2 linked regions of the Caenorhabditis elegans genome follow. The protein of the gene in region 1 purifies or fractionates together with the protein of each later gene. This does not show direct contact. Each region holds a gene or a part of one and is shown on either strand. Other genes may lie near its edges.

Evidence for each region.
Region 2: the proteins of ubl-5 (region 1) and dve-1 purify together in Caenorhabditis elegans (affinity purification with western blotting, with the first as the bait; one study listed by BioGRID). This does not show direct contact.

The regions. Positions count from the first base shown.
Region 1 is NC_003279.8:5,607,208-5,610,996, reverse strand, and holds ubl-5 (Ubiquitin-like protein 5), read left to right. Parts: upstream 1-2,155; 5' UTR 2,156-2,160; coding exon 2,161-2,273; intron 2,274-2,962; coding exon 2,963-3,071; 3' UTR 3,072-3,171; downstream 3,172-3,789. Other genes in the region: trpp-8 (Trafficking protein particle complex subunit 8), read left to right, coding at 339-389; vha-10 (putative V-type proton ATPase subunit G), read left to right, coding at 743-889, 938-1,072, 1,311-1,409; tns-1 (Tensin homolog), read left to right, coding at 3,480-3,512.
Region 2 is NC_003284.9:427,598-435,812, reverse strand, and holds the start of dve-1 (Homeobox protein dve-1), read left to right. Parts: upstream 1-2,013; 5' UTR 2,014-2,019; coding exon 2,020-2,200; intron 2,201-2,312; exon of another isoform or gene 2,313-2,841; coding exon 2,842-2,968; exon of another isoform or gene 2,969-3,662; coding exon 3,663-3,777; intron 3,778-3,829; coding exon 3,830-3,939; intron 3,940-6,307; coding exon 6,308-6,470; intron 6,471-6,520; coding exon 6,521-6,820; intron 6,821-7,125; coding exon 7,126-7,273; intron 7,274-7,813; coding exon 7,814-7,992; intron 7,993-8,042; coding exon 8,043-8,126; 3' UTR 8,127-8,215.

The sequences.
Region 1 (3,789 bases):
AATTTTAAGTTATCTTTGCTTCGGAATTTTTGATATTTTTTAATAAAAATTTTTTAACTGGCGCAAATCGACAAAAACCATGAATTTTAACAGAAAAAAAAACGAAAAACTGCAATTACAGTACTCTTTAAAGGGACACGCATGTAATAAAAATTTGGCATGTCGAGAACGGGCACCTTATTTTTGGCGAAAAGTTTATCGAAAGAGGCTATTGCATAAAAACTTTGCGCGTCAACTATTTTGCCCTGTCCGCAATTCTGAATGAGACGGTGTTTGCACATCTCTGAACAAAGACCACAATCTGACTCTTTTTGCCAACTGATTTTCGCCCTTTGCAGGTTCCGAGTGTGCTATCGGTCGTCAAATCGTCATCATATACAGTTGTCTGAAGTATCTCAAATCATTTACACACATTTTCCACATCTTCCTGTGATATTCTACTCAAGAATCGCTTTTTTCAACGGGTTTAGTCCCTTTCTAAACTTCCCTTTGATATTTGCCTCAAAAATCGCCCATCTTTCATGTAAAATTTATGTGTTATTTTTATTTCAATATTTTAGTTTCAGTTCTATTCGTATTTATTCATTTTTCTTATAATTTTATGCATAAATTCTCAAAATTTATTGATTTTTCTTGTCTTGTGCTGACTCGGTTCTTTTCCAATTATTATATGTACATCTTAAGAATAATCACGAAATCCTGTGAAAATAATTAAATCATTTTCAGTACCGAAAACCTTAAAATGGCCTCACAAACCCAGGGAATTCAGCAACTTTTGGCCGCTGAGAAACGTGCCGCTGAGAAGATCAACGAAGCTCGTAAGAGAAAGTTGCAGAGAACGAAGCAGGCCAAGCAAGAGGCTCAAGCTGAGGTGGAGAAGTACAAGCAGGTAATAAATATTGATTTTAATTTAAATTTTAAAAAACTAATTATTCAGCAACGCGAGGCAGAGTTCAAGGCATTTGAACAACAATACTTGGGAACCAAAGAAGATATTGAGAGCAAGATTCGTCGTGATACTGAGGATCAAATCAGTGGAATGAAGCAATCTGTGGCTGGAAACAAGCAAGCTGTGAGTTTGAACAAATTTCCACACAACTTTGGGAAATCTTTTGCACTTTGCAAAATATTTACTGGAGAACTTTCAAAAAAAATTTCTCGAATTTAAATAAAATGTTCTAAAATAATTTTATTGAATTTCTATATTTGTCACCAAATTAAAATATAGTTATTGTAAAACGGCACATACACATTTTTGGCTCACACTCTCGAAAGTTGCATAATATCTCAATAAAATCCGTTAATTTCAGGTCATTGTCCGTCTCCTTCAACTCGTTTGCGACATCAAGCCAGAGCTCCATCATAACTTGACTCTCCAGAAGAAACTTCACGGACAGTTCGCTGCCTAAACTTTTCGTTTTCTTTAATCTCTGACAATTCTGATCATTCCAACTTTCGCTAAGTCCCGCCCCTTACTTTTATGATGTGATATCCCTCTCCCATCAATTTCTAACCAATTCTGTAGAATTCTCCATTTTCAATTAAAAAATTATAGTCGTCACTTTTTTTTCTGTGACGACGTATTGTATACTATTTACAAAGAAAAAGCTTATACGTCAAAGTATTTCGTCGAATAAAGGTTTTATAGAGCTGATTATAAACTGGAAATTATTCTTTCTCTACGAATTAATCAATAAACGTATTCAGAAGAGGTTTTTCGCAAGTGTGAAACGCTATGTTCAAAAACTGCAGATTTTACCATACTTGCGCTTTTTTATAATTCCGAGATTAATTTTTGGAAAAAATAGCAAAATTTAAGCAGTTTATGTTTAAAAAAGTTCGTTTTTAAATACGCTCAAATAAAAAAAGTAAGTTTTAATTTTAAGTTTCAAAGGGTTGAGTCTCGCCGCGAGAATTGAGTTCTTGAAAAATAATTGGTGCATGCGCCTTTAAGTTTACTGATTACATTGCAAGTCTGCATTTGCGCGTCGAGTTGTGTGTTTTTACGTACATTCGAAATAGTTATATTTATTTATTGCGCAATTGCATTAATGTTTTTCTATACCGAATTTTCATTGCTTTCTTGCAAAATACATGTATTTTCTTAAGAAATTTGTGAATATTTTAAATTATACATAATTGTTTGACCTTTCAGGAAAAATGATTGAAATCACAGTAAACGATCGACTCGGAAAAAAAGTACGAATCAAGTGCAATCCATCAGATACAATTGGAGATTTGAAGAAGTTGATCGCTGCACAAACTGGAACACGGTGAGATTTGAAAATTACCTTTTTGAATTTGATAATCTTTTTGAAATTGACTGATGATCCCACAATCTTTTTTTCTGAATTCTTAAACTTGAAAATCAATTATATTGAAAAAAAAAGAATTTAGCTTTTTTATAGACTTTAGAAGTTAGAAGTTAAAACGTTTGAAAGGAAAAAAAGAACTTAAAAACTAAAAAAAATCAAAAATGGCACAAAAAGTCGTTATTAAAATGATCTCGAGCTAGGAAATCGCGTTTTAAAATACAATTTTTCTGTGTTTTGCCATCTCATGCGGCTATTCGCATATGTTATTTTCGTATGTTTTATATATTAGAAACAAATTGAAAATTTGAAAAACGGCAATTTGCCGATTTGCCCAAAGTTTTCCAAGATATTTTACATGAGAAAAAACATTAATAACATTTTCATAGATTTTACTTGCATGTCAAAATAGTTCTAGGACATTAAAATAGTGCATTTAATTTTGCAGAATTTATAATAAAAATTTAAAAATTTACAACAATTGCAAAACGAAAAATTTCCGACTTTGCAAAAAAAAACTTGCCTCCCAGCCCTGTGTTTTATTAAATAATTGATTTTTTTGTAATTTGATCATAAATTTCGACCGCCATTCTTGGTGATGAAATATACATTTTTTATTGTTTAATAAAAAAAAATCAATTAAATTTCAGATGGGAAAAGATCGTGTTGAAAAAGTGGTACACCATTTACAAGGATCATATCACATTGATGGATTACGAGATTCACGAGGGATTCAATTTCGAGCTCTACTACCAATGATTCATCAGAATTCATTTCATTTTTTAAACAATTATTTACTTTTCAACTTTTCATGAATTTCAATTTAATTTTTTTTGACTTCGAATAAATTTCAACACTTTCTTGATTTAAATGCACTTTTAAAAACATCTTATATTCATTCTTCCACCCCATTAATTTCTGCCGTCTTGTTTGACCACTCCCTCTTTCTTCGCTCCCACCCGAGTAGGCTCCGCCCATTTGTTCGACCCAAAAGATTTTGTCCGATTTTTTCTCTTTTTCTCTCTAATTCTCTTCGCCTATCAATGTGTTTGCGCGAAACAGTTTAGTGTGGATAGAGAAAAATCAGTGGATAGTTAATTTTTGCAGATGTTTTTTTTTTGAATTTTCAAAAATATTACTTCTAAAAGACATTTCAGACCAAGGGCAATGGCTGCTGCAGCTCTGTGCTGTGCTTCAAGGGTACGTTTTTAAATTGAAAAGTTTGAATCCCGAAAGCTTAAAATGAAATATTTATAGAATACAAAAATAAAACAACTTTTGAAAATTAATAAAAAAATATCTCAAAAGTTAAAAAAAAAGTTTCTCTAAATAGAAATATTCAAACATATGGTATCAATAAGCAGTCGTATTGACCTCGTTTCACAATAAAAATCTGGATTATCCGTTCGTTTTTTTGGTCACCACAGCTTTTGAATTAAATAGCTATTTTTTAAAGTTTTGTTTAAAATAAAAACTT
Region 2 (8,215 bases), on another chromosome or scaffold:
ACAAATTTGAAGAATCATACTGAAATCAGAATATTTATAATTCCTCTTTCAAAAATACTGAATATCATATAACAAGGGGCAAGCACCCACCATAACCCATCACATTATTCCATTCCCTACCATCTCTTTCTCCATTCGGTCCGGTCCATTGAGTTGGTAAACATATAATGTATATCGTATGATAAGGCCGCTGAATTTCAATTGACTTCCCCCCCCCCCCCCTCCTCTTTAATCTTCTCTTTTGCGTTACCGTACGATACGTAATATATGTAAAACTGAGATTTTTTGCATTGCCCCTTGAAGTCTAGAACTTCTCGACTTTCAAATTTGTAAGAAGGGTCTCATTTACCCTATACTTCTACTTCATGCTTCTTGTATAATCCCATCCGCGGGGTTGGTGTCTTCAAGCAACCGGGATTACTCTTTCCGGCTTATTCGAACCCCCTCTCCTTGCTTCAGTATTGCTCCAGATTGCAATTGTTTCAATTAGCCGCTACGATGACACCTAAACTAAATCCTCTAGGCTTAGGGGCACAAACATTCGTTTGTTAGAACTGATTATGTGGAGATGGAGCAAGATAATACAAGTGTAGAATACAATGATTAATCAATGAGTCTCACAGAGTTTTGCAAAAATTCTGAAAAATTAGATATTTCCAAAACCACGTTTTATACCAATTGTTGATTTTTGACTCATAGTAATTTTAACAATAAACCTTGTTAGATAAATTTCTAGAAACGGATTTGAGTTTTGGTGTGGCGAAGTATCAAAAGTGTACACATTATCTTATCGACAATAATCCCAAACCCACTCGGAGCTCCTAAGTAAATAGTGACTTGCATTCCAACCACTGTCTTATCTATAACTGGCAGACCCCCTCCTCTCCCGAAACGCGCATCCTTAAAATTTCTATAAGTAACTTAACCTTTATCTCTGCTGACACATCGGGACAATTCTAATTCTGATGCGCCCCTTATGCGATGTGTAGCGTCGTTATTTTCGATTTGACGGTGAGGAAAAGAGAAAGGCGGGGTTATAGGGTAGAAGAGTGAAGAGAGAGAGAAAATCTTGAACAAGTGGATTGTCTTTGTTCGATTCTTCTTTTTTCCTCCCTCAACGACGAAGACTAAGACGATGCCATACCACAACGACCCGAGGCTTTTCTCGAACTAGTAGTACATGATCGTTTCTACAGATGGGGGAGGGTTGGCAACCAGCCCCATCTTTCTTTTTTCCACTGTTTTCTACCTCACCTACCTATTTCTCCTCATCTTCCGCATTCTCTGCCTCTTTTAGACTCTTCCATCCGGTTCCTACATTATGCCATCTCGATCCCGACCTCCCCCCCCCTCAACCCCTCCTTACTACTTTCGCTCCATTCGTCGTCTTCAATCTCTTCTTGGCGACGACGTGGTCGCCTTCTTTCAGATTTTCCATATCAAATCTTGTTTTCGTTTTCGTTTCCATCCATTCTCATCTTCAACTTGTCTTCAGTAGCGAGTAAGAAGTAAGAAGAATGAGTACATGTCGCCTGATTCGTTGTTTTTATTTGTGTCTTAAGATTTCTAACCCCCTCTTGGACAGACTGCAAATCTGTTATCCAAACTTGGTGTCTCCCGTTCTTTTTTCATTAATCGCCTTAACAAATCCCACTATCTCCCTTTCTTCCATTTTTGTTGCTCTCCGCTCTATTCCATCGCAATTACGGTTGAATAGGTGCGCGCTTTCTTTTCCACCTTATTTGCTCCAACTAGCCACAACTACCATATCTCTTTTGCTCTTGCTCTCTCTCTCTCTCTTACTCGCTCTTTTTCTATCTATCTTCCCCGCATCATAGAAAGCCCCGCCTCCTCCATATCTATGAAAAGTGGGCGGGAAGTCCGCACACCAATCGGAGCGCAGAGCTAAATCTATCCAACTATCTTCTGGCTCTTCTTTCGATTCTTCTGCTATTAGTTTATCTCGATTTCTCATTTTTATTTTAAAAATTTCAAATATAAAGTTTCATTCAGCTAGATATGTTCCCAATGAGGGTAATCGTGGAAACAGTTCGCTCTCAACATTGCTTGACATGCTCAAACGAAGGACACATGATCACAGACACTTATGCAATTGTCGCAGGGACCACTACATTAAATCAACTCGTCGAAACTGTACTAGCAGCTCTTGGACATTCGAGCATGTCGACAAGTGCTCGAGGTTAGTTGAGAAAACATTTTGAAAATTGCCATAGACCTCGTGACTAGCTAAACTATTTTGGTATTAGTAGTACACATTCCTTATCTTCTTTTCTTTCATTTTTGTTCCTTTTTTTCATTCGCCAAAAACGGATAACAGATCTATCTTGTGATTGACAGATTTACCCTACTCTAGGCGAGTAAGTAATTGAGTATTGAGTGGGATCTCCTTTTCTTGACAACTACTTTCAGTTTCAATTCAATCTCATTGAAGCATAACGTGGTTGCGCAACTTCGCTATGCTGTAAGAAGATATACATCTTCCTCCTACCCCGAGATCACCCACTTTTTTTTGGCTAAGACGACCCTACCCACTCATGTGTTTTGTTCTGCGCCTCTTGCCAGATCAACGGTATTTCTGCGATTTCAGCGCCCTCCTCCCATTTTCTCACTTTCACGTTTTCTTCCACCTTAGTAGAAAGTGAAACAGACTGTCGAACCTGTTCTTTTCTCGGCGGCTTTGCCTCCTTGGTATCTACTTTCCCAAAGATTATGCAATCATGTGAAAGGGAAATCGGAAAGAAAACGAAGGGAATTGCATAGGGTTTTTTAAAAAAATATTTTGCATTTGTTGTCCGAAAATCGATAATTCAGAAATTTCAGGCCTCATACAAGTAAACAACTGGAAACCCTTGCCATTCGATCAAATTACTGAAAATTTAGATGACACTGTGGAAAACCTCTTCAAAGATATATCATCACATGTAGTGCTAAAAATATTGTCAAAACCGTAAGTGTTTCCTGAAGTATTCTTGTTTCACTCCGCACTATAACCTCATCTATCCCATCCAATCCCGCTCCAACCAGACGACTGTCGATCGGGAGGTTTGTGTGCTCCGGGGGGCTCATTCTGTAAAGGTGAGCAAAATCGCGCCTCACAACCCCTATACATCCTCTTTAGAACTACTCAAAGAAAATGGCAAACATAGGTATGTACAATGCGCGCCTCGCACACACACACATATATATAAACACATTCAGACATGTGTACAGGAGAGAAAAAGTGATGGAAGGAAAAAAGGGGGAAAACTCATTGAAATTGGCGGTGGCTGAAAAAAGATACATTTTGGGGCGCATTTCTAGTCATCAAAAGTCAAAGGAGCGGGAGGGTCCGGGGACCAACAAAATTATTTACCTAGATCCCCGTATGACTTATCCTATCTGTTTGCGGATTATTGTCGCTTCCTTCATTTCTTTATATCGTTCATATTCTATTGATATTTGGCATTTAGTTTGCTATCAAACATGGCACTCACAAATACCGCAAAAGCTTTAGCGCTTTGTCCTGCGACGCAATTTTTATGAGACCAATGAAAGCACAAACCATTCACGGACCGAATTCGATTTTTATAGCCCTATCCCTGGGCACACATATGCCTATACACACACACAATTTTATGACCATCATCATGATTTTCTTTCAGATCTACGGATTCAAATTCTGTGCAATGTATAAGTGAGGTGAAGAATAAACTCCTGAAAGCTGCAGTAAACAAAAATCCCAATGTTTTAACAAATGTGGATAATCAGCAGGTTAAGGTGGGTAGCTGCTATTTTCTCAATAATTCAATTTCAATTCTGATAATTGCAGGATGTCATCAACACAATCATTGCCGGAGATGAAACACTCTTGAATTCCGAACAAATTGGTGCAGTCAACGAATGGCTTGATACGCTGGAAACGAACGAGGATCGTAGAAGGTAAGATAGCGCCGCCCATGCAATGAGTTGCGAGCCAGTCAGCCAACCAGCCACCGTAATCCCGCTGTGCGTGTTGGATGTGAATAGAGGGGGGGGGGGGGCAGAGTTTGAGAGAAAAGACAGAGAGCAGTGACACGGGGGGTAGCGCCAAGTTAAGCCGCTATTCGGTGCTCGAGTTAAGCCCCCTCTCGGCTTGTTTGTAGAAATAGACTTTATGGATTGGTTAGGAATTTTGAGCTGCAGGCAGGATTGTGTATACATTGTGGTTGAAGGAAAAGTTATGAGAGAGCACCCATTTTGTTTATAAATTTTTGGGGAAATTTAGGAGATGGAATTTTGCTGTCTCTAGATATCAGGTAAAACCGATTCCTATCGGATATCATATAAACAATATACTTTTCCACGTCTGTGCATTCTTATTCACATCTGAAAAGAGAGGACTTAACTTAAATAGTTAGTTTCGTTTAATTTCCACCGCAAGGATTCATTGGAGCTCCCCCCCCCCCCCCGTCAGAATTTCAATTTCCTGAGGTTGTCTTCATCAAAAACCCGCCTTTTGTTTTCAAGTGTCGTAACAATCAGAATGGATAGGCGTCGGGGATTAACAAGCCGGCAGATTGTATCATTTGCTCTTTCTTTGGTGCCCATCATCACCATTCATCTTATTAGTGACAGCCCCCACACACAATGTGCGAAAACGATGATTGTTTGGGATTGGAAAAGAGTAGGGGATGGGTTCAATGGGAAGGGGAAGGCAAAGTGATGAAGATATACGTGAATGAAGTTAGAAACACTAGTTTATACCGAAGTATCTAAGAATTGCTTTGAAGACAAGTTTAATCTATAAAAAATTGTTTGAAACTGTAAAATCGTTATATAAAATTGATTTTTTTTACTTTATTACCCATTTGCGTAGCAGAAAACGTTTTTTTTTTTTTTTTTTTTTTTTTTTTTTTTTCTAAGCCTAAAAATAAAAAACTACACACGGTTTTATTTTAAAATGTTAAAATTTATTTTTTCAAAATGAGGTGAAATAATCCACAAGTACCAAAAATTTTCCTTGTTCTTAGTGCTAAAATAATAAAACACCGTACGCCTTCTATTATTTGCCAACTTAAAATGGTTGAGTTCAAAAATTTTTGAAAATCTAAAATTTTTAGGAGACGATTCACCAAATATGTGGCTTGTCAGAATTTAACAATTACCAAAACTCAAGTTTTATTTCGTAACTCAACTATAAATTCCACTAAGCCGGTTGACAGTACGGTTGATGCCCGGATAAGAGAGCAGTATTAGACTGAGATGAAGATAGCTAATTTCAAAAAAAAAACGAGACAAAAGACAAAACGATCAAATTCGGTCGTTCTCTAAGTGCCCTCCATCATGCCATTGTGTCTTTCTCAATTTCTCAAGAGAAGGAGGCTAAGAGATCAGGACTGGTTTTGGCCCCTTGTTGACCCGTGAAAACATCTCTGAAACTGCCACTGCCTGCTGATCTACATTCCCGAGACAACAAAGGGAAGAAGTCAAATTATAAGTGATGGAGACAGTTGTTTTCCACATATTCCTTTATTGAAACTCCTTCTTCCAACGAGAAGAAAAAAGGAAAAAGAAAAAGCTGAAATCAAGTTTTCCAGTCATCGAAGCACATCCAAATTTTCGAATTTCCAACTGTACAAATAATTGAGTTGTGTTGTGAGTAATCTTATTGTGACATACAGACACAAGAGAGGATACAAAACATGTACATATTGCTCTGAGGGAATGGGAACAGCAGAATAAAGGGCAAAATGGGAAAGGACGGCGGTGACGCATTCTGTAAAGAGTAATAAAGAATAGAAAAAGGGAGATTGAATGCGTTGTGTGCATACAGTGATATATCCAAACTGTTACCCGGGGGGGGGGGGGGGGCGCAAAAACAAGAAGAAGGGGACCCAGTATAACTATCAGAATGGAGTCGTGATTGGAGAAAAAGTGTCAGTAAAAAATGATTAAAAACTATCCTTACAAAAAACTTGTATACGAGTAATTACACCGTATTTCCTCTATTTGTATTGTACCACATTGTTCAACTTTAACTGTTTATATCTCAGTTATCGTTTGTGCTATTCGAAGTTGTTAACTAACAAAATATTTTTTCAGTTATTTTTCTATAGATTCGTAGTTAAAAATATATGTATATCTTTAAAGTGTATTTATACTCTTTAAAATGAATTAAGATATAACGTTTCAAAGTTAGGTAGTCGGGTGCAATACAAATAGAAGAAATACGCTACATGATTTTCTTTTCATTCCACTCTCAAGAAAGATAAACGCCTGCTTTCATATTACTTTCAGTACACATAATAATGTATGTATTTAATTTCAGCCCAACACAAGTACAAAGATTCAACACTCTTTACGAAATTCCACGTCTTGATAAATGGTTCAAATCCGATGCAAATCCATCTAAACAAAAAATGAACAATTACTTAAGCCAGCTCAATCAGAGTCCGTTCAGAAAGAACAATTCCAAGATCAGCTATCAACAGGTGAATTTAATGCGCCTACATATTACTCCATTAATCAAATGAATTTCCAGATTTGCAATTGGTTCACACAAAAACGCTCGAGTTCCCGTACCTTAGCTCCAGTAGACCTAGTGCAGGTCTCGTCAGCTCAGACAGCGGCGCAGCTGCTCCCGGGATTCCAACTCAACTTGCTCCAGTCCCTGTTTGGAGAACAACGTCAAAAATTTGATTTTTACGACAAACTGGATGAAACCAAGATTGTCGGCGGCTCCGACTCGCCATCTCCAGCCGATGATGAGATTCATAGCAATTCAGATGAAACTATTCAAGATACTTTGTTTTCCATCAATATTAAACCAGAACCGGAAATTGTAAGTTACGTTTGACTGTTTGTGCCATAGTTAGGTTGATTAGCGTTGCTCGTGCTGAAAAGCTTTGAAAAATCACGCTAAAAACGGATTTTCGGCTATTTCGATTCTGATTCACATTAAAGATAACATCTCCCAAATTGCTAAATATTACCGATAAGGTTATAAAGACCTAACACTACGGCCGAAAATCTGAATTTATTCCAAACTGTCAGCGTCGGCTGAGCGCCAATTAAAAATATTTTTCGACACAATTATGGTCCACCTTTAAAAATTATTCATCCCAAAACAAGCAACATTTCCTACAGGATTCAATTGCATCCTCCCCGGATATGGCAAACTCAATGCGCGAATCATTGTCCTCGACCTCCCCAAAGCTTCTCAGCGGGCTCGACCTCGGAGCATTCAGCACCCACTCATCATCCACCAACTCCATGCAAAACGCCAACTCATCAGGTACAACAAAGAGCTTTAAAACAGACAGGCTAACGGAAAAGAGAGGGAGATGGGTTGAACCAAGAACTCATAAATTAGAAGCGAGCACACACACACAAACACACATAGACATACACAAAGTGCGCGAAGACACATAACAAAGGGAGAAATGTGGGGCGTCGAATTTCGCACAGACAACCATTACGATCACTGAGATCTGAGGAAAAAAAAATGAGGCTAGGTATTGTGTTTACAGAAATAAAACAGAAAATCAACTGCAAACTTGATTTTGAGAAATATTCTAGGGATTTTGTACTGGCTCAAACTTATCGAGAAGGTGGCCATGTTCATGATACTCAGTCTGAAAACCTATATTGGTTGCTATCTCTAAAACGCTCTTAGATTGCGTTTGCTATGCATATGAAAAATGACTGCATAAAAATTCTCTATCTTTTCGACAAGAAAACTTTAAGGTGGAATTTTACTTCTATTTTTCGATAAAATCACTGACGCGGAACGTTTGAAAAAATTCAACGATAAAGCAAATAATCTCCGTTTTAGTGTTTTCAGCGGCTCGCTCACGCCTGATGTTCGACCCACTCACCGAGCTACCCGTCCTCGAAAAATGGTTCGAAGAGAATCCTCACCCGACATGGATGCAAATCGATCAGTACACACAATGCTTGAACAACTGCGCTTATCGAGAGAATTATCCGCATATTAGTCAGCACAATGTGAAGGTAATATTCTATATTAATACTGATTACTAGTTATCGAATTCGAATTGCAGATCTGGTTCAAAAATCGACGTGCAAAATGCAAGCGATTGTTGAATGGAATGCAGGAAAAGCTTGAGCAGAAGGTTTTCGTATAAAATTAAAATTTCCAACTTTTTTCAAAATCTTATTATCTTTAATTTCGAAAGAACATTAAGTTTTTCACATCAATAGTTCCTTCTTTAAC